4 linked regions of the Arabidopsis thaliana genome follow. The protein of the gene in region 3 binds, or shares a complex with, the protein of the main gene of each other region. Each region holds a gene or a part of one and is shown on either strand. Other genes may lie near its edges. The genes, in order: SMU2, SKIP, RS2Z32 and U2B''.

Region 1 (6,423 bases), on a different chromosome or scaffold from region 3:
TCGTTGCAATAAGTGTGAGAACAGCCATTGATTCGAAAAGATTCAATCCTTGGTTTTCGTTCAACACATATCTCGCAGTCGAAAGAGCGTCTTCGTCGTTGTATTGGTCAAACAGAGGACTGTCCCTTTTCTATGGAGATTGGTGTGAAACAGAGGATTCTTACATCGTCATCTTCGTCGTTGTATTGGCCAAGATCTATGTAGTTTGTGAAACCGGATTTGAATGGAGTTTGAGAAGAGTGTATTGGCCAAGATCCTCGACGGAGATGGCGTCACGTTTGGTTGAACCACGAGCGGAGAGAGGTGTGGAGAAGATGAAACGGTCGGAGTCATTGACGGTGGCTGCATTCATGGAATCTGTGGCCATTTTTCTGATTAGGGTTTTATGATTTTTCTAGTTTTTTGCTTGTCTTGTTGGGTTGGTTACTGAAGCGTCTCATTTTTGGTGATGCTAAACCTAAAACCTAAGGCTGTCCCAACTCCCAAAACTGCTTCGTGTTTAATGGGTAATTAGGAAATAAGAATGCTATCATTTCAAAATTTGGACGTAAAATCTTTTCTAAATTAAGAATTTGAACTCAAGGTACCAAAAACCTAAACAGACTTGAAGATACAAAATAGATTACGAGAGAATGACTGGAGTAGACAAGAGACAAATCAATGCTTGGATCTCTTAGGAGTTTGTGCCTCGGCGGCATCCAAAGAAGCAACATCCCCACCCTCCTTCTCCATCTTCTTTCTCGTAAGTATCTTATTGATCTGGTGAAGTTCATTATTGAGCTTCTGGTCACGGTCACGGTTCTGCTTCCTTGTCTTTCGACCATCTTGCATCTTTACCCCGAATTGGAACGCCGCTTTTGGCATCGCTTCCTTCTGCTCATTATATTTTTCCCATTCCTCTTCTGTCTCAAAGTCCCATCGATGTAAACCACCCTTTGCCTGTTCCATGTACATTCAACAACCAGATACTGTAATTTTGCTCTTCCACAATAAATAACAAGGAACATGTAATTAAGTCAGGGCATACCTTTCCACCCATGTCCATTTTAGACAAATCAGGTTCTTCATCACTACCGACAATCTCATGGTTGTACTCTTGGTAACCTGGATAACACTCTGAATAACTCTCGGATACAAAAGTTGGATCTTTCTCCCTTGCGTCACTCTCCCTCAACTGTTGAAGCCTTTGGTCATCACGCTTGAAAACCGATCCCAAACCCCTATCTTTCTCTTCCTGCGACATGAGTTGAGGATCTAGTAAAACATCGGTTTCTGGTTGGACCTCGTAACCCTCCATTCCAGGTTGAAGGTACTGCTCCTGATACCCAGTTTGCTCTGCATATTGGTATTCCTGCCACTCTCCGGGGTACCCAGGAGCCAGTCCTTGAGTTTGCATTGCACCATATGCACTCTGGAAAAACACACAACCACCAGAAAAAACCTAAATATGGGAATAAATGACATCTAATAACTACATACCAAGACGCAAAATTTGCAGACGAGGATCAAGATTTGAGAATAAATACAACCAAGGATTAGCTAGGGTGAACTGACCATATCTTGCCATTCCTGACCAGCAGATGGCTGCACTGGACCATAAGCAGGCTCAGCGAAATAAGGTACCTTCTCCTGCACTGGACCATAAGCAGGCTCATCGAAATAAGATACTTTCTCCTTATCCCTGGGAGATTCTTCCATGTCCTCAGAAATAGGACTCTGTGTCACATCTTTACCAGGAACCGTGTAATCGACGCCTTCACCAACAAATATGTCATCATCGTCTGTCCTGGCAACAGGGGGTTCTTCTTGTTTCGTACTCAAATCCAGATGGTTTATCCCAGGTGGTAATGGCGGAGGAGGAGGTAAAACTTCCCTGTCACTTATGTTCACAGAAGATCCATTCTCAATCTTAGATTTATTGTCGTCTTCATCATAATCATTAGCAATAGTTGACATCTTTCCTGCATTTGAAAAGTTGCAGTGGATGTGATTAATAAGGCAAAATAATATAAAAAATGCATGAACGTATGATAGAATAGAAATTAGCAAATTATCTTGCTAAAGAATCAGAAACCAGCCAACTTGTATCCAATTGTATGCTGATGTGAAACAAGAACTACAACATGTACTGGCACCACATTAGCATAATAAAAATTACTAACAACAGAGTTTACAGAACCATCAAGGGACGGCAGCAACATATTTATGATACAACTAAATTTCTTCACAATTGATAAGCGAGAACACAACCAGACATCAGTAGATACTACTAGTACTGTGGTCAAAGACTAGGTACACTCTTTACATTCTTGGCTCCAAACTGTAAGACCAGATAATTAACAAATTTCGGGAAAAGCAGAGAACTTATTTAACCAGTGTAAGTGAATCAGGTCTGCTAATACTTAAACTTTACAAAAAAATGCACCAGTAGATGCAAAATACCTTTCCCATCTTTTTCTTTCTTTTTCTTCTTGAGAACTTTCCCCGACGACCCAAGGCGAAGATATGACATGATTTTAGCAATTCGATCTAGCACAGAACCATCAACATTGACTGTGACAAATTCCTGTTGGGGAGATAGGACAGAGAAACAGTGCCTGTTAAATGAAACAATTCTCGCAAAAATTGCAGCAGTGATTTCAATTATAAATTTTTATTATGTTCAGTAAACAAACATATTAAGCAACGTTAATTTTGGTTCCAGATTAGTAGAAAGAAAGTTGAATTTAGTTTAAAAAGATTTTTATAATTACTTAAAGAAAATCTATGCTTCTACCAAAACTAATGACTTATATAATCGATATTAGCTGTATTGAATACATCAACACTGTAAAAGAAAATAGGTTGCAGAGACAGGCAGAGTGGGCTTATTTTCATTAGAATCAAAACGATCATGTCACATCACTGCTTACAGTCTAAAGATTTTTCCAGGATCAAGAAGACTATTACAACAAGGACTCTAAGTATACATACCTCGGGCACCGGGCAGTCAGCTTTACTCCTATATAACGTGGTCGGTATGTCATGGGTATAGCCACCTTCCTGAAAAGCAACAAATAGAATTAAAAACAAAAGGGAATAAAATTAATATACATCAACAGGGAGGCTTTCAAAGGGCAGACTAAACCCATACTATAAGCTTAGCCTAGCAGCTTAGCTGAGACTAAGTATCTCAAAGGAAACTTCATACGTAACACTACCAAATATCAATAGTATATTCAACTGACTTTTCTTGTCGTATGGTGTCTCTATCTGCAAGAGAAAAAGAATATGCTTCTTCAAGAAGAGCAGACACGTTAATCGAACTAAAAAACCTTTACAACCAATTCTGCGTATAAGGTTTCTAACAAATAGATTAAATCGTGAATAAATCGCTAACAAGGTAATGCAAAACAGCTTAAGCTACCTTCTTAAAATTTTCCTGAGACATGTATTTAAACTAGAAGCGAAGATTTAACTAAATATTAACTAATACTCGAAGAAGAATCGTTGAAGCAGAATACACATGTATGACTACTTCCTAAGACAAACAACGACATAAGAACATGTAATAAGATTGAATCTTCCTGAAAAAGAGTTAACAAGCAATACCATATCATAGACAAATGTCATTCTACCGGGAAGAAACATCTCATTAGACTTGATGATAGTCTGAGGCTTAACAATCCACTGGTAAACTGACTGAAACAGATCAAAGACAAGAGAAACAAAAAACATCAAGCGCGTTAACTACATCCCAAAACTTGCTCCTCATCTGCAAAGTTCAGAACAAAATTGCATACCTTTGCAGCTATGGTACGGAAAGTAACTCGCTGATCTTCCTTAGGCGCACTGTTAATATAGTAAAATTAGCACTTGAATCAAAGAAGCCAAATGAGTCAATAAACCAAGTATAACCAAATCTACCTAGTCTTCCCACCATCACCATCTTCACCATCAGGTTTCTTAACGATTTCGCTTCGTACTTTATTCAACAAAGCATAATCCAAACCCTTAACTAAATGGGTATGTTCAACATCACCTAAACCATATCATAAAAACAACATAAGCACCTCAAAAAAAAAACATTTTGAATAAATTTGTAAACCTAACACAAACCTCCAAGATATTTGCTGTTCTCAATAGATATCTTAAGTGCATCAGCAGCACTACAACAAAAAAAAGTACACAGCAACAGAAATTTAGAGAAACCCAATTAGAATTTAGAAAGATAATGAAGTAATCGAGGAAAGACAAGTGCTACCGGATATCGACAGCTCCGGGAGGAGCAACGGCATGGAAAGAACTAAGCTCTGATGGATCATAATCAGGATTTTGATTCTCTCTTCTTTCTTTAGCACGATCTCTGTATTTTGGATTATCGGATTCCTCTAGTTTCTCCTCTCTGTGAAGGAAAAGTGACGAGTTTTGATGTTTTTGTGTAAAAACCCTAGCTTTTGAAGAAAAGGGGAGAGAGGAAAATGAAGATTTCTGACCTCCGACGAGCGGTTTTCTCCTTGTGATGCGATTTTGAAGGTTTCATTAGATTTCGTTAATTCGATTTCTTGTCGTGAAACAGAGAAAAATCAGATTTTGGCTGAAGTTCTTCGTTCTGATGATATCTGTGTCTGTTTCGATTTCAAAGCGTTGGTGGTTCTGGTCAGGGGAAATTAGAATTCGATGTTTAATTTAGAAACCGGATCTAATTTAAACCGATAAAATCGTTTAGCGACCGGGTTTGATTATCGAAACCTGGTTCACAAATTTTTACCATCCACCAAGGACATTAAAAACCCAATTCATTCATAATAATATTACCTTAGATCAAAGATCAAACACTACACATACAATACAAGCAACATTCCCAAAACGATGGTCTTATCTAACATTATCTACAACAAAAGTAGGCCAACATGGTCCTCATAGATGTTATGTAGACTCAAAACTATTTCTCATCGAAAAAGAAATGTAATGTAGACTGCGTCTCCTTAGATTTCTTGATGTTAGATTTCCCCATTCCATGCATCTTTCCTTGTTTCCCACTGCTTTTAACATTTTGCAACCTCTCATAGTGTTTCTGTGGCTTTTCTTGAGCTGAGAATACCTCATAGTCTCGCTTTGTCCCACTCTTTTCGCTAAACACTAAGCCACCTTCCTTCGTCGTCGGGCTAGTTAAAACTGTCTTCTGGTTTTCATTTCCTGGAATATCTTCGACAGCCTCATGCAGCTGATTCAATCTCTCATCTGCAGTAAAGAAATGATGGCTTTGAGTCTCGGGTTCTTCTTTTGAGATTCTTTGGAGATCAAGGATGTAGGACTCAGCCGGTATACTGGCACTGCTCTCACCTGTTTCTTTAGTAAGACCAGTCTTTAGGGATTTGCCTTCTTCCTTTGTACCCTCCTGAACATCATTCTTTACAGGTTCAGGAAGTGACGCAACTGCTGAGTTATCTTCAACAAATGGTTCTGCTTTCACAATCTCTTGAAACTCCAGATTTTTGGCTACATTCGACATATCTTTCTCCCCGTCTAGTTCTTCAATTTTCTTAATGCTGTCAGAAAACGTGTCCTTTTCAGCCGTAGGTTCCTTTTTCAAATCAACTATGATATTTGCATCTGTTGATTTGGTTTCTTTGTCTCCTTCATCTGTTTTGGGCTGCTTTGTTGAGAAAAACTTCGAGATCAAGCTATTTTGTGAAGTCTTTAGCGGTATCTGCAGGTGGCATAATCCTTATTTGAAATGACAATAAGCATACAGACTGTACAAATACATAGTGATCCTGACAATATGTTTAATGCGACTTGAGATCAAACTTGAGATTTGAGTTGTACACTACTAAGAAAGGGAAAGATGTTAACCGTACCTGTTGAATACACTCTGGTCCATCAAACGTTGGTTTACCAATTGCAGAGGTTACTGGATACCATACCTGAAAGTTCAAACTTCAATCTCAAGTAAATGAAAAAGGAAAGACCACTCTTATATGCGAGGAAGTAAGCAATTGCATACCAAATCCGATTTTTCATATGGTGAAAGTAATGGCTGCAGTTTCGTTGTCGAGGGATCATCTAACCATGTGTCGATTGAATCCTTATCACCAAGAATTACAGGCATTCTGTCTTACATGAAAAATAAACAAACTCACGTGTTAACACAAAAATTCAGGGCTGCTGCAAATCAACAAAACAATCATCAACAGCCGCTAATAATGTAAGCATTGTATAAGAAACGCTACTCTCAATATTAAACTACCTTAAACAGCCACTGCTTGTTCTATTCCAGTACTTAAAGAAGTTAAAGATTCTCATGCAATTACATATGTATCTTTTCTAAAAGAGCTTATCAAATCAGATGTAATACGAAAACAGAAACAACTCATACTACTATGATAAGTTTGTATCTTTATTAATGTGCGGGTTTGATTAAACCTCATTTTAAACAAC
Region 2 (4,770 bases), on a different chromosome or scaffold from region 3:
CTCTCGCAGAACTCATCTCCGACGAACCCTAACCTAACGGCGACGGAATGAAGCTCCTTTCCCAACGTAAAATCATGAATTTGAACGGCTGCTTTGATTACAATCGGAAGAGAATATCGATCGGGTAAAACAGTCGATCTCACCATACCGAGATATACTTGAATTGCATCGAGAGGAGACTCATGGCGAATGTAAGATCGCATGATGTTGTTCCATAAGAAAGCGATCGGATATTGATCGAGGATTCGTGAACGGAAGATGTCACCATGGATCCGACGAACACGAGCTAGGCTAGTGCAGTTTGATAACAGAGTAGCTAAGAGTTTGTTTCGATCTTGAGGCGAAAGAGGCGTAACCGAGGAAGATGATGTAGTGACGAAATGATTCAAACGGTGAAAGATCGTGAAGTGATTTGTTCTCTTAGTACCATGAACATGAAGCTTGGAGATAAGACCAGAGAAGAACATGTGTCTTTTTTGTTGTTGTCCTGATTCAAAACTAAGATTCTTAAGTACACAAAGTTGTAACAGTGAAAAAGAAACTAAAATAAGCTCAAAAGATCTGATATTATGAAGCTGAAAGATTGTATTCGAGTAGTTTAAGAGACTCACAACAACATAAATACTGATAATCCAAAGCAAACTGTTTTAACAGATCCAAAATAACAAGTTATATATTGAAATCAAAGATCAGTTACTGAGCTTTTTCTTTGTCTTGACTTTTAACGCCGGTCACTGCGTTCGAAATTGATCTTGGTTCGACCAGAACCGCCGTGGTCATCGTCCCTTGAAGAGCTACCACCACCGCCACTTGCTCTCATAGTTCCACCAGACCCGATCTTGTCCAAAGGTTTCTTACCCTTCTTTAAATCAGAAACCCACTTCTCAAGACCGAAAGGATCTTGTTCCTCTTCCTTCTCAAACTCAACAGGTCGGTCTCTCTTACTACCCACCCTCTCTGAAGCCCCTGTGAAAGCTTTGTCAGGCTTAAACCTCTCAGTATTCTTGATCTTATCGAGCTGCTCATCAGCGTTTCCATACATTTCTTCATCGTTATCCTTCTTTGGCTTGTACAAAGTCGAAAGAGTTGGTTGTGCAGTGAACAAGCCTTTGTCGTATAAGTTGTATTGGTCATCAGCAGCGAAACCAGAGTCCATTCCTTTGTCTTGGTTAAACAGACGTTGATCATACATAACTTCACCACCACCTTTTCCTCCAGTAGATGCCATTCCAAGAGCAACTTTCTCACTGATGTCACGGTCTCTGTCTCTGGTGATCTTGCTCTTCTTCCCCATGGCAGCATCTTTGGCATCCAACCTTCTCTCCCTCTCTCTTTCCCTGCGACGCTCTTCTCGTATCTTTTCTCTCTGAATCCTTTTTTCCCTCTCCTCCCTCGTCTCTTGAGGCTCTTCCCTTTCTCTTTCCCTTCCTCTATCCTGGTCATAGTTGTCATAATCACCTCTTGGGTCAACACTTTCACTCCTACCCCTGTCAGATGAGACAGGCATACTCATAGCAGCACCGGTTCTTTCGGAGCGAGCTTTTTGGGCAAGAGCCCTCAATTCCTGCTCTTTCCTTTCCTTGTCCTTCATCACCATCTCTTTTTGCACCTTGGAACGCATTGAAACAGCCTCTCTAGCTTTCTGCTCAGCTACATAGAGGGCCTCTGATAACTTGGCAAAGTTATCATTGATCTGAACGTCTTGTAGGCCCCTTCCATCAGCAGCTAGACGTTTGTCAAGAGGGATTGTGTAACCTTTCGGATTCTTCCAATTGGAGATACAAGGAGGGATTTTCCAGTCTTGCTGGTCCTTGACGGTAACAGGCCTGGGCGGTGAATGCATGACCGGAACAGGCGGAGAACCAGAAGCCCTTGGGACTCTCTTGTGCTTGAACTTTGGTGGATCAAGTGGATCTACAGGCATCTCCACCATCCTAATGATCCTCTCTTTAGCACCAGAATTGAAGGCAGAAGATTGCTGGGATGGCTTATATTTAATGTACTGTGAATCTCCCGATTGCCTTGCTATATTACTAGGCTGCGCTGCACTCAGTCTCACATTCACAATCTTCTCAATGGCAGCTTTCGTTTCTTCAGCAGTCTCCTGAATCTCCTTCTGCAATTCCTCCTCTTCATCAACAACAGTACCCAAGTCTCCCTCGTTTTTCAGAAACTTTGGAATAATATCCTTATGCTGAGAATAAACAATCTTCCTCGAGTTCTCATTCTGCCTCACTATAGCGTCAAAGACCACGTTTCCCTGAGCATCGACAGTAACAGGGAGAGTCTTAGCTCCAGGCTTATTGGATTTATTCTTACCCATAAGAAGAGGATACTGAGGAAGATGAATCTCCGGGAAAGCACCACCATCGCCAAAATCCTCTGGATTCTTCGGACGTAAACCTTGACGATTCAGGTAAGCAGGCACCACTTTAAATTTGATACTGGAGGATTTCACCGTCTCGGATTCAGTGACTCGGTTTTTGAACCAAGCATCATTAGAATGATCATAATACGTGGTAGTGGTTGATTTGGGCGCAGGAAGATCATTAAGAGACTTCATAGTCTAAATCAAGGTTTTCAACAAATCGCAACCTGCAAACAAAGAACAATAACGATCAGGACATACCTAATCCGTAATTACAACAACAAGCTTCTGATAATAAAAGTGACAGATCCTCCGAAATTAGGGTTTTCTAGCGATAAACTCGACGCGAGCATTAGATCCCGAATAATTCCGATTAAAATCTGAAAAATCTGGGTTGGATTCACTACAATAGAGCGGAAAACAAGTAGGGTTTAGGAATCGCTGAACATAGAGATCGACAAAAACCTAAAAACAACAGGAGGAAAGCAAAAAGCAGAATTGAATCTGAGAAATCGAAGAAGCTAACCTCTGAGGAAACTAATCGACGGGAAGAGAGATTCTGAGAAAGGTGAAACGATGTGCGAGGCGGCGCAGACCGATGAAGAACAACGAACGGAAGTGAAGCCTTTTTCTGGGGAAAAAAGAAATCGGGCGTGAAGCCTTTTCTAGGGTTGATAGGATTAACAACAAAAAAAAGGAATCAATTGTCTTATACGCAGTGTCTATGTAAGTCGGTTTAAAAATAGACGAAAAAACGAAAAGGATAACGTCGCCTGAGAGATTCGAACTCTCGCGGGCAGAGCCCATGTACTTAGCAGGCACACGCCTTAACCACTCGGCCAAAGCGACTTATTGTTTTTAAATCGAAGAAAGTTATATATATAACTATAGGTGTTGGCTTTTTGATATATACAACAATTCTGAGCATCTCATAATTATTTGCATTGTCCTTAATGAAAATCCGTCTCAAACACATTCCCATAGTTTCGTTTAAAATACTGAATTCAAGGTTAAAAGAAAAAAAAGTATAAGAATTTGGTGTTGGTACATCTCAACTGGTATACTGTTAAACCACCTCGAAAGGGAAGGTGAAAAAGTTCAGAATTCAAGTACCAATAGAGGAAATACTAGTTAGGCTTTGGTTTGTCTATCAAAACTCAAAGCAAGTGTAAGTTTCATATCAACAAACTTTCTTCTCTTTCATTTTTTTATAAAAAAACAATAGATTGATGGCGTTAGTTTGATATTTAATGAACCAATTTATGTTTTTCTAATCAACAACCAATTTGTTTGATATAAGGTAAAGAAACAAAAATGATATGAATGAACTACGTAGGCTATGTAAATAACGACTACGAGAGAGACTTAAATGTATGGTGAGAAATATTATTAAACATATATGTGGCCATGCGGGATAATGGGAAGGTTAATGGTTTTGCTTCTATGGAAACAACGGCATGGTAGTTAGTTTCCAGTTTTGGTGGACAACTTGGCGTGGTTGTGTTCAACGACAAACTATGGTCCTTGACTCCTTGCATTACACAACTCAAAACTCGGAATATACTTGAGTATATCATATGCATACAATTTTCAACTTTTTCTGTTAAATCGATTCATGGATTAGATGAACTATTTTGAGGGCTTTTCAGCATTCGATTAGGTTAAACGGCTGTTGCGATTATTATTTGTTTTCATAGGAGCTTATGCTATGAACAGTAATCATATAATCATTTGTATAAAAGTGTCTATTTCTGATCTAAGCACAGTAATTCATATTTGTTTAACCCCAAAAGCAAAAAATCATACATCCGTATATATATTTGAGAAAGGAAAAAACAAATAAAGACCGTGCTCGTGGGTGGAACCTCCGTTGACCGCGGATCCCAATATAATGGCCTTTTCCTACGGGATAGTTAGATGCATTACTAATTAACGTAACAATTAATTTTGATTCAAATCAATGTACGATGATTATAATAAATGTGTTAATTTAATCAACTTATGAGGCCGGTGTTGATTGATGTTTTCGTTGAGAAGACTCACCCAATACTTAGTTGATTTAACATTTTTTTTTTTTTTTTGTTACAAAGGTATTAATTTCCCCATCTAAGGATTGCGTATGAAAAAATATTTGTTCAAACATAATATAAGTTCGTTTTACAAAGATTAAAAATGAATAAAAAAAAGGTTTTAAATTTCACATCGTTGGATTTGCATATGAGTTAGTGCATGGACATGTTAAATTAAGGGTCAAGCCATTAATTATGTCTGACTAATGCAAACAAAGTCAAACAAGAGGAAATGATAAATAATCCTTAACCTGCAAATTCGTTTTGGTAGAACGATAATCTTTTACTTCTCTGGTACAAATTGTTTTTAATTAGGGAAAGAAAATGAGTTTC
Region 3 (4,976 bases):
TAGCTTCAGTTTGAATCTGTTCTCTGTGATTAGGACTATCATATTCATATGCATTCTTTTTCTTTTGGCAGGTTCGAATAAAGAATCAGGCACCGAGAAGGAAGAACAAAAGGGCGGAATGCATCCTGGAATTGTGGTACTGATTGTAGTACTCTTGTTAGGTGTAGTTGCGGTGGGACTCTTGGTAGGTTACAAGTATTGGAGAAAGAAGAAACGGCAACAAGAGCAGGCCCGGTTTCTCAAGCTGTTCGAAGATGGTGACGATATTGAGGACGAACTTGGCCTTGAAAATACCCTATGAAGCCAAGTTTAATGTGCCACAGTAATTCAAAGTTTATGTACATACATACAAAACGTCTTGATCCTCCTCACAAGCATTTTTGTTTTTGTCGGACATAGAGAGGAAAGGGGTACAATGATACATACAAGCAGTTGCTTCATCCAAAGAAAAGTCAATGTTGTTATTTCTTTTGTCATAACTGTTTAACAATTAAAGAGGCTAAAAGAAACCCAGACTGCGATAGTTAAATCCTTTTTCCTTTACTTACCAAATTTTTTTTTTGCCAAAAAAGACATTACGAGGTGCTTTATTCTTTACTAAACGATCCACAAGCGAGAATTTCATAAATGCATGATTCTTACTAAACAATGAAAAGTAACATCGCAGAGTTTGAAAGTTGTCGGAAAACAAACCAAGAGTCATCAAGAGAGAAGGCAAAGTAACATCCAGGATTGTCACGCAACGAAAAGAAAAGTATCACGCAGAAAGAAAGGGAAAGGAAACAACATCCTTCAGTACAGAATGCTACATAGAGCTTTTAACCTGTGAACCATCAAGGTGACTCACTGCCTTTAGGGGAAGGACGGCTAAGCTCAGCCTCATCATCAATCGGGCTCCTGTCTTGACCATTAAGTCCAACAGGACTTTCACCACCTCCAACAATGGGACTCGCAGAGTTCCTGCCATTACCATTCTCTTTTGGGCTACCATCATAGTCTGATCCACGCTTTGGGCTTGCATCTATCACTTTTCGGTCTGGACTCAGGCTTTGGTCCCTACCTTTGGGAGATACAGATCGCTCCATTGCCTTAGGACTGCGTGATCTGTCCTCCACGCTTTTCTCTCTTCTCACTGGGGATCGCGATCGACTGATGAACAGAGAAATAAAGAGTCAACCAAAGGGCATAAGCCATGGAATTAGCGTTGTCAACATACTTAATAGCTACAAAGTACGAATCATTTCTACAATATTAAGGGAAAATAGTTGTCTACGGGACATGCTTAAAGATCAAACTAATATAGTTCCAGAAAAAGCTCAGAATTGCTCTAAGCTTTTTACCCCACATATGAAGCTCAAAATATGAATTTCTAGGTAAGTTTTTTGGTGGCTCTCCTATTGTATTCCGTATTTGCATTTATAAGACAATTTTCGAGAAGTCCAAATTCACAACTGACCTGTAGCTGCGACCTCGACTGTAACTACGGCTACGGCTTGGGCTCCTTCGGCGACGAGGGGAGCGGGATTTGACTGGTGACCTGGAATAGCTTCCACCCTGCCTGGAGAATTATAATCCAAAAGAGATATGAGAAGAAGCTTAAAGAATAGAACAAACTGTGGAAAAACAAAGATTCAAAGATTTAGTACCTGGCCTTCTTTGGACTAGGACTGTTTTTGCAGTTTCTCTCAATGTGTCCTCTTTCACCACAGCGGTAACATTTATTCTTCCAGTCTCCTGCTGTGCAGTCTCGGGCCCAGTGGCCATCGACACCACAATTAAAACAGCGACCAGAACCAGGAGGTGGGCCTCTGCTACCATTGTCCCGCGAACCACGAGGAGCCTATCATAAATTCAAAAGTTTGGCAAGATATCAGTAATTTTTCATCCAAATTATCAAGCCAATGGAGAATCGGTAATACAGACACAAATAACTAACCCCTCTTGATGCCTCCACAGTGATGCGACTTCCATCGAAATCCCGTCCATCCAAGTAATATCTTGCGTCATCAGCATCACGAGGATCACTAAATTCCTGTTCTCAAAATGTGAGGGACAATGATAGATGCATAACATATATATAAAGTTTGTGCGCATGACAAACTTGAGAATCAAACGCTTGAATAAAGGAAAAGGGTAATATAAGACTTACAACAAAGGCATAATCACGCTTCATATCCACATCTCGTACTCTGCGTAAATTGTTGCCAGAAAATCAAGGCCATCATTACTTAAGGAACTTCCAAACACCAGTTTTTGAGATTTGAGGCCATTTCCAATAAAAACATGCAATAAATCAACAAACAAAATCGCCGATGCACCCTCTATACACCAGACGAGAATTTCCACCAATTACACCACAGTCCACCCATTCATCAAACATCTCCAGGTTAGGCAAACCCCCAGAAACCTTCAACAAGATCATTCAAGTTAAAGAAAAAAAAATCCACTAAACCTAGCTCCACAATTTTCCCACATGTACCAATGCAACGTTATAAGTAAAAACTACCCTCTTTGATTCTAATGTTAAACTTTAGGTATATATCCCCTGCACAACATCAAAGAGGAATCATTCCAGATTCACACCAAAGAACAATTAACAAAAAATCCAAACACTTATCTCCCCAAGAATACAAAAGTCAAATTAGGTCAGTCAAGACAAAGGAATATGACTCTTTACCTTCCGTATCTGCTAAAGAGACGCTCAAGGTCTCTGGTACGAGTTCTAGATGATAAGCGACCAACATAGAGGCGAGTGTTTCCATAGCGATCATCATAGCGAGGCATTGTCAAGCTGCAAAATATTTTTAACATAAGCTATTAGGCACATATGTATATATATATATATATATGCCAATCACAAGAAAAAGAATAACAGTATCCTCTTCAAATTATATAAACAAGAAAAAGACCAGAGAGTTAAAACACTACCTCAGACCTAAACATAGAACCCATGTGAATATCTATGATTTTTCAGCAGAACACAAATCCAAAAACAAAGAAACCAAACTGAATAACACATTCAGAGGCGAAAAGAAGAAAATTTCGTGAGGGGAGAATATAAATCTCTAATCAGATTAGACAGAAGGAAACCTATAAAGGAAATCTACGGCGAGGAAACGAGAAACCAATTGAAATCCCTAATCTAGAGAGCGAAGAACAATAAAATCGTAACCCTAAACAGATCCAATTACAAAGATTCTTCCTCGTACCTGGAGAGACGAAGAAGGAGAGTGCAAATACGCAGTAACCCTAATAATTTCGAAACGAAGGAAGTGAACCGCGGATGATACTGCGATTAGTCTTCAACCCCTATCTTATAACTTGGAAACCGACGAGATTCAACGGTAGCGATTTGTTTCAATCAACGGTTTAGATTTCACGGCGAGATAAACGTCGATATTACCGATATAGAAAATAGAAAATTGCACACTTTCCAATTTAGTACTTTTATTGGGCCTTATATCAACTCTAAAGCCCATTAAAGATTTAGCAAACATATGCAATTTCGTATTAATCATAAGTATTAAGTACATCATAATCATTGGTCAAGTTACTCTAATAATTTTCTGTTTTGTAAATCAGCGACGCTTGTTCTTGCTTCCGATCAAGAGTGTGAAGTAGAAGAGAACCCTAAAGAAGAATCCCCAAGCTACAGTGATCCACAAGCAATTCCATTTGCTTATCTCCGTGATTCCTTGCTGTTTCAGTATATCGATTCCCGTCGTTACGCAAGTCTCCGCCGTCACGTTGATCCCCAAAACGCCGCTCATGCTCTTCAGGAGGCTGATTTTCACGGCGGTTGGAACTTGTCCCAGCGGCGAATTGTCGAACATCTGGATCCCTCTGACGAAGCATTTCGTCGGATCTTCGAATTCGTTCTGTAGAACACCTTCGTAAGGGTATTTCACTAGGGAGAGGTAATGGAACCAGATCCAGTAGAGTGGGATTCGATCTCTAGAGATGAAGAATCCGGAGAAGAGGAGGAAATAAGCGAGGATTGCTACAACCACCGTGAATCCGATCATCACGTGTGAGACTACGCCGGATAAGAACGTCACGAAGGAACTTCCGGCCCAAAACGCGGTGAGGATTGTGAAGAAGAAGAAGAGGAATCCCTCGGAGCCTCCGGCGAGTCCTACGGCCGAGAATGTTGAGGCGGCGAATGCGGCGGATAAGATTATGAGAGCAGGGATGGAGATTATTGTGTGAGCGAGGACGTATGATGATCGCCGGTAAGCGTTGTAAGCTGTTTCTCTCATGAATATGTAACGTTCCTGTAGAAAGACTGGTATTGCTTCTGCACATGTGTAGAATGTTGTGGACATTGCGAATGCGAAGAACCCTAAGCGTTCTTGTATACCTCTTGGTGAATTGTCTAGTTTCCAGAATATTGTGGCTAGGATCATTCCGGTGACTAGTACAGCTCCTAGGCGGATTCCGAATAGCTCTGGTTGTCTTCTTGAGTTTAGTATAGATCGTTTACCAATTACGAGCATTTCAGTCCAGAATGGGTTTGCAAAGGTTTGAAATGATGATCTTAGGTTTGTTGCTCCGGAGACAAGCTTACCTCTCGAGATACTTGCGCTGATTGCATCTTTGAGAGATACATTGGTGTTTCTTCTGCTCTGGCTTGAGGTTTGCTTTGCTCGCCATTGCTTGTGGAACTCGACTAAGGATTTCGTTCCTTCTGGCGAATCTTCCAGCTCACGGATAAGATCGAGTGCAAACTCCGGCTTGTTCTCGTTTTCAGGAATTGGGTGACCGAATTCTGAGAAGAACTGAGGGAGGTGTGTCGGGGAGCCGCTGTAAACGGTGTTTCCCCTAGATAGGAAGATTAACTTATCGAGTAATCCCAAGATTCTGTAACTCGGCTGATGGATGGACATGATAACTATGCTGCCGCTTTGTGCGATTCTCTGAAGCACTTTGACAACCATGTATGCACTGGTAGAGTCAAGACCAGAAGTTGGCTCATC
Region 4 (4,518 bases), on a different chromosome or scaffold from region 3:
TTTATTACGTGTGAGGAGCTGAGAAGCAGAGGAGAATCAAGGTAATCGGAGAAAGTGAAGTTATGAGAAGATTGTGAAATCGGAAGAGGTGGTGGTTGAGCCGTCTTGAACTTAGGTAAACCAGACCCGGTTCTCTCTGGATAGTACCCACCAAAACTCGACCCAGAAACTCTCAAGTCTTCATCATCTTCGTAACAGTCAACGCCGGAAGAACCAAGAAGGTCGGTGAAAGAAGTGGAAGACATGATGGTCTTTAATAAAGGAGACAACTTTAAGATTTCTAAAACAGAGGATTCGCTAAAAAAGGAAACTTTTTTATGAAATTGATCTTGAAATGAAAAAGAGGATAAAACTAAAAAAGAACAGAGGCTTTTAGATTGGGTTAAAGACGACGACGGTGGCGTATTGAGCAAGGTTTTTTTTGTTTCTCTCTCTTCTTGTCTTTTTCTACTTTGGCCTAAATATCATTTTTGATTTTAATATTTCTATAAAATGGTTGACCAGTAAGATATTCTTTTTTGATGAGTCGTCTCCTAATTTGTGATAAATCGTCAAGTGTGAAACCGCGTTTCAAGGGTCTCTTTCAATGATTAAACCAAAACCGGATTAATCCGTTAACCAATAGAACCGTTGGTTGGTTATACACACCAGGTTTGGTTGGTCCAGTACTATCGTCTTAAAGGACAACAAACAAACAAAAACAAGACTCTTATCATTTCTTGGCGAAAGAGATGACCATTGGATTCTGGGGAGTGATTTTGAAACCTTGAAGAGGTTGCATAGCTATGGAAGCTTGAACATCATCTTCGTACTCTACAAACGCGATTCCTGGTTTTGCGTCGATCATTCTTATCTCTTTGAATCCAGGGTACTGTTCGAAGAGAAGCTGTAGCATCATGCTTGTTGTCTCGTGTGGGAGATTCTGAATGAAGAGTATGTTGTTTGGTGGCATTGTTTCTTGCCCGCTCGGCTGGAACGAAGGCTGCATTAAGAAGAGCAGAGATAAAACGCAAAACATCAGCATCATCTCCAGATAACAATAGTTTGGTTCACATGATCCAACAATGGAAGATTTTTCTGAAGATGAAGGTGAGAACAAGAACACTTACCGCAGGGACTCCGTTATTGGCACTTGGACCATTAGCACTTGGGCCATTAGCCGTGTTTGGTCGTTGGGAATCTTCACGCTTTCTTTCAACTGAAAGTAAGAAAGGAAGTTTGTTAACTTTAGATGCAAGTGAAAATTTTATAGTTGTATCATTGAACCAACATCTACGACAAAATGCAAAAAGAAGAAATAAAGTTTAAAACCTTTTTCTTCTTGCTTCCTCTTCTTATCTTTTGGAACGAAAGTTCCCTCAGCTTTAGCTAGACAATCTGACTTTGCTTTTGCATATTGTAAGCGCTGCACTTAAAAGATCACATAAAAAGTATGAATAATAATAAATCTCAACCTGATTGGAAGTAGTTGAATAGTTTACAAACAATCGAAAGAGGTAAGATTTAGTTATAAAAACAATGTATATATCAAACAGAACAAACATTTTGACAACAGAAATCATAAGAGAATGTGATTTGAGAAGGTCAGCAACAAAATCCAAACACACATATAACTAAATGTTGATTGAGAATAACACAGTCAAAGGTAATCATTGGTAATCACATAAACACACTAAGGATTTCTGCTTTTACCGCATCAATCAATCTATACAACACACAGAATATCACTTCCAGGGAAATTATACAGAGATTGATATACTCAAGACAGAAAAGGTAGTGGATACTAATCATTGGTTACTCATCAACAGCAACAAAATCTAAACACATATATGACTACCAATGGATTGGGAATAGAAAAAGGTCAAAGGTTCCAAAACAAATTGTTAGTAATCAATTACACAAACACACTAACGATTTGCTTCTATCGATCTATACAACACATAGAAGATCACTTTCATGGAAACTATAAAGAGATTGATATACTCAAGAGTGATGAAATACTGACCATTGGTTTATCATAGAAGGGAAAATTTTGCATCTGACGAACAGCATGACCAGCAGCAGTGACTTCACTAAAAGTAACCCAAGCTTGTCCTCGGAGCTTCGGAGTCTTCAAAGCAACCACATCAAGTATCCTCCCAAACTGAGAGAACAAACAGTAAAGAGATCTCTTCAATTCTGAGAAAACAAAAACCAAGTCAGATAAAGCATGAGATTGATGATACTGCCCTGAGCCAACACTACTTCACACGTCTATAACAATTATCCATACAATGGCGAAAACAGACAACACCAACATATATATCTTCCTTATAACCTTGTCACTAGATTCAATACGATTCTGAAACCCTAGTATTTAGAAACGAACACTCTATATAAGCTAAAAACAAGCAAAAACCCTAACATTCAGTACTGTAGAAGCTTGAATCATTGGTACAGGAAGTTCATGGAGGTTTCAACATCTAAGAATTTGGAAATTTACTTGACGAATTAGATTAAACGAGAAGAGAAGTTTACCCTCTTTCTTGATCCTTTCGTTGAGGTTTTGGATGTAGATTGATTGATTCGGTGGTATATCTGCCGTTAACATCTTCGAGTGAGCTCGTGAAGACGATGAAGATTCTCGAGACTGAGGAATTTAGAGAGAGCCCTAATGGTGGGAACTGGGAATGAGAGAGACGAAGAAGAGTAAAAGAAATAGCTGCGTTTCAACATCAGACTATTTAACGACGCCGTTTAGTTTGTTGGTTCGATTTCCTAAACTTTTGTACCAACGTGAATGAGCCGACCGGATGGACCGGATTTGAATTTGACCGGCTAGACAGAATTGAACCGGAAATAGAATGAGTGGTCGGGATTGGACTTTTATAGACTCGAGATCAATTTTTTTATTGCAAAATTCCAACAAAAGTCTTGTGAATCATTTTGATTCAAATGTTCAACAACTTTTTAAAATAATGTAAATGATGTTGTATTTTTCCAGCTGAGCTTGCAAATTTGTTCTGAAAAAAGATTTAACCTTAGACCTTAGTATATCTCAATATTCATGTGATAGATAATACAATTCACGTGTGAGCCGATTGAATCAAAAGGCATTAAAAATGCAATGTACTAAAATGCCTTTTTGTTTCTGTGTTACATTTTTCTTTACACTGAGAAAATAAATCGAGGATGTTTCACTTTCATCCTTGAAGAAATATGGCAACCATTGCGACTACTAGTGAATGATCGATGGATCCAGGAAATATCGTTAACCGGAACTTGCTTCTCCCTACGTAAATCTGTCTCAGCTTGTACATCAAACTCGTCTGCCACCACATTTAAAGGAACATAAATCAGATTGAGGCAAATGTTCAAACACAACAACAACAACAAAAATCTTTAAAACAAGTGTATTAGAATCCAAGCAAATTTTACAAGCCTAATGAATCCGACTTCAAATGAACGAAACAAAGGGTTGGTTGTTTATCCATCAGCAAGCATGATCCAAACGATGAGTTTTGAACCCGGTAATCAAAACCAGTATAACACGGTATTGACTCTTGTCTAGCTATAGAATGTTCAATAGTGCTGTAATTGGGAGAAGATGAGTATCTTTACCTGTGCAACAATGGAATCTTGACTATAAATGGTACAAGATTTCTGAAAGGGAACACCTTTGATAACAAGATTTTCGGACGATTCTCCAGCAAAAGAGACCTCTGACTCTGTCTTACTGAATCTTTTCGATGTCCGCTTCACCGTTAGAACCAAATCCTTACGCTTTTCCACATCTCCTTTATGTAATTCCCACACTCCATTCTACATTCCAATACATATACAAAGATCTGTAAGTGTTCTTATGATATATCTCAAGCCAGTGACTAACTAACAAAACCCAAACAATCAAAAAGTATAAACATCGTGTGGACTATGTAATGAATAATGAGATTTAAACAAGTAGCGATGAGAATTGCCAAAATCGATGAAATTTGGGACGAAGGAGGCTTACGTGGAGACGAGAGATGGAGAAGAGAGGAACTCCGGAGGAATCAAGGAGAGATTTCAAGGAGGAAGAAGATTTGCGGAGGATGAAGACGAGATGTTCGGAAGAATCGGCAAATCCGAGATCGCCGGAGGAAAGTCCGGGAAGCTTTTTGGAAGCGAAGAGATCGACTGGTATACGCCGGAGATCCTCAGGGTCGGGGTGATACGGAGTCTCGGAATCAGCCATTTACATAGTCTCTAATAACAGTCAGAAGCGTAAGGTAGAAGAAGAACAAGAGAAGCAGCTTATATTCAACGCCAATGTTTTTTTTTGTTCTAATGATGTCGGATCAGATTTTTTTTTTTGCGGCGAAACATTCTTCTTACACCAAAAAATAATTCAGATGAATAAAATTAAGCAAGTAAATAATTGGATGTAGAAGCCAAAGATAATAAAATAGTAATGATAATTTTCTTTTACGTTCTTGAGATACCAATTCTTGTTTTTTTTTTCACACAAAACTGAAATGCAAAAAAAAAAACTAAAAAGTA

What was found.
Region 1: RS2Z32 (region 3) and SMU2 share a complex: the UniProt entries of both Arabidopsis thaliana proteins name them as parts of the spliceosome.
Region 2: RS2Z32 (region 3) and SKIP share a complex: the UniProt entries of both Arabidopsis thaliana proteins name them as parts of the spliceosome.
Region 4: RS2Z32 (region 3) and U2B'' share a complex: the UniProt entries of both Arabidopsis thaliana proteins name them as parts of the spliceosome.

The regions. Positions count from the first base shown.
Region 1 is NC_003071.7:11,254,392-11,260,814, forward strand, and holds SMU2 (RED family protein), read right to left. Parts: upstream 4,680-6,423; 5' UTR 4,523-4,679; coding exon 4,476-4,522; intron 4,385-4,475; coding exon 4,244-4,384; intron 4,149-4,243; coding exon 4,099-4,148; intron 4,022-4,098; coding exon 3,907-4,021; intron 3,832-3,906; coding exon 3,783-3,831; intron 3,682-3,782; coding exon 3,592-3,681; intron 3,043-3,591; coding exon 2,974-3,042; intron 2,567-2,973; coding exon 2,443-2,566; intron 1,962-2,442; coding exon 1,555-1,961; intron 1,412-1,554; coding exon 1,028-1,411; intron 940-1,027; coding exon 658-939; 3' UTR 541-657; downstream 1-540. Other genes in the region: AT2G26470 (embryonic stem cell-specific 5-hydroxymethylcytosine-binding protein), read right to left, coding at 4,925-5,692, 5,844-5,909, 5,990-6,099. UniProt on the Arabidopsis thaliana protein: Auxiliary spliceosomal protein involved in splicing of specific pre-mRNAs that affect multiple aspects of development.
Region 2 is NC_003070.9:28,999,070-29,003,839, forward strand, and holds SKIP (chromatin protein family), read right to left. Parts: upstream 3,067-4,770; 5' UTR 2,895-3,066; intron 2,772-2,894; exon of another isoform or gene 2,596-2,771; 5' UTR 2,564-2,595; coding exon 722-2,563; 3' UTR 508-721; downstream 1-507. Other genes in the region: AT1G77170 (Tetratricopeptide repeat (TPR)-like superfamily protein), read right to left, coding at 1-467. UniProt on the Arabidopsis thaliana protein: Splicing factor involved in post-transcriptional regulation of circadian clock and flowering time genes. Associates with the pre-mRNA of PRR7, PRR9, ELF3 and GI, and is necessary for the regulation of their alternative splicing and mRNA maturation.
Region 3 is NC_003074.8:19,833,724-19,838,699, forward strand, and holds RS2Z32 (RNA-binding (RRM/RBD/RNP motifs) family protein with retrovirus zinc finger-like domain-containing protein), read right to left. Parts: upstream 3,366-4,976; 5' UTR 3,210-3,365; intron 2,792-3,209; 5' UTR 2,785-2,791; coding exon 2,678-2,784; exon of another isoform or gene 2,190-2,677; coding exon 2,150-2,189; intron 2,033-2,149; coding exon 1,937-2,032; intron 1,841-1,936; coding exon 1,647-1,840; intron 1,559-1,646; coding exon 1,457-1,558; intron 1,150-1,456; coding exon 834-1,149; 3' UTR 517-833; downstream 1-516. Other genes in the region: AT3G53490 (valine-tRNA ligase), read left to right, coding at 72-301; ABCG20 (ABC-2 type transporter family protein), read right to left, coding at 3,579-4,976. UniProt on the Arabidopsis thaliana protein: Probably involved in intron recognition and spliceosome assembly.
Region 4 is NC_003071.7:12,904,845-12,909,362, forward strand, and holds U2B'' (U2 small nuclear ribonucleoprotein B), read right to left. Parts: upstream 2,822-4,518; 5' UTR 2,591-2,821; coding exon 2,518-2,590; intron 2,179-2,517; coding exon 2,006-2,178; intron 1,406-2,005; coding exon 1,312-1,405; intron 1,199-1,311; coding exon 1,110-1,198; coding exon of another isoform or gene 1,050-1,109; exon of another isoform or gene 983-1,049; coding exon 713-982; 3' UTR 501-712; downstream 1-500. Other genes in the region: WRKY25 (WRKY DNA-binding protein 25), read right to left, coding at 9-245; AT2G30270 (LURP-one-like protein (DUF567)), read right to left, coding at 3,183-3,308, 3,601-3,801, 3,992-4,213. UniProt on the Arabidopsis thaliana protein: Involved in nuclear pre-mRNA splicing.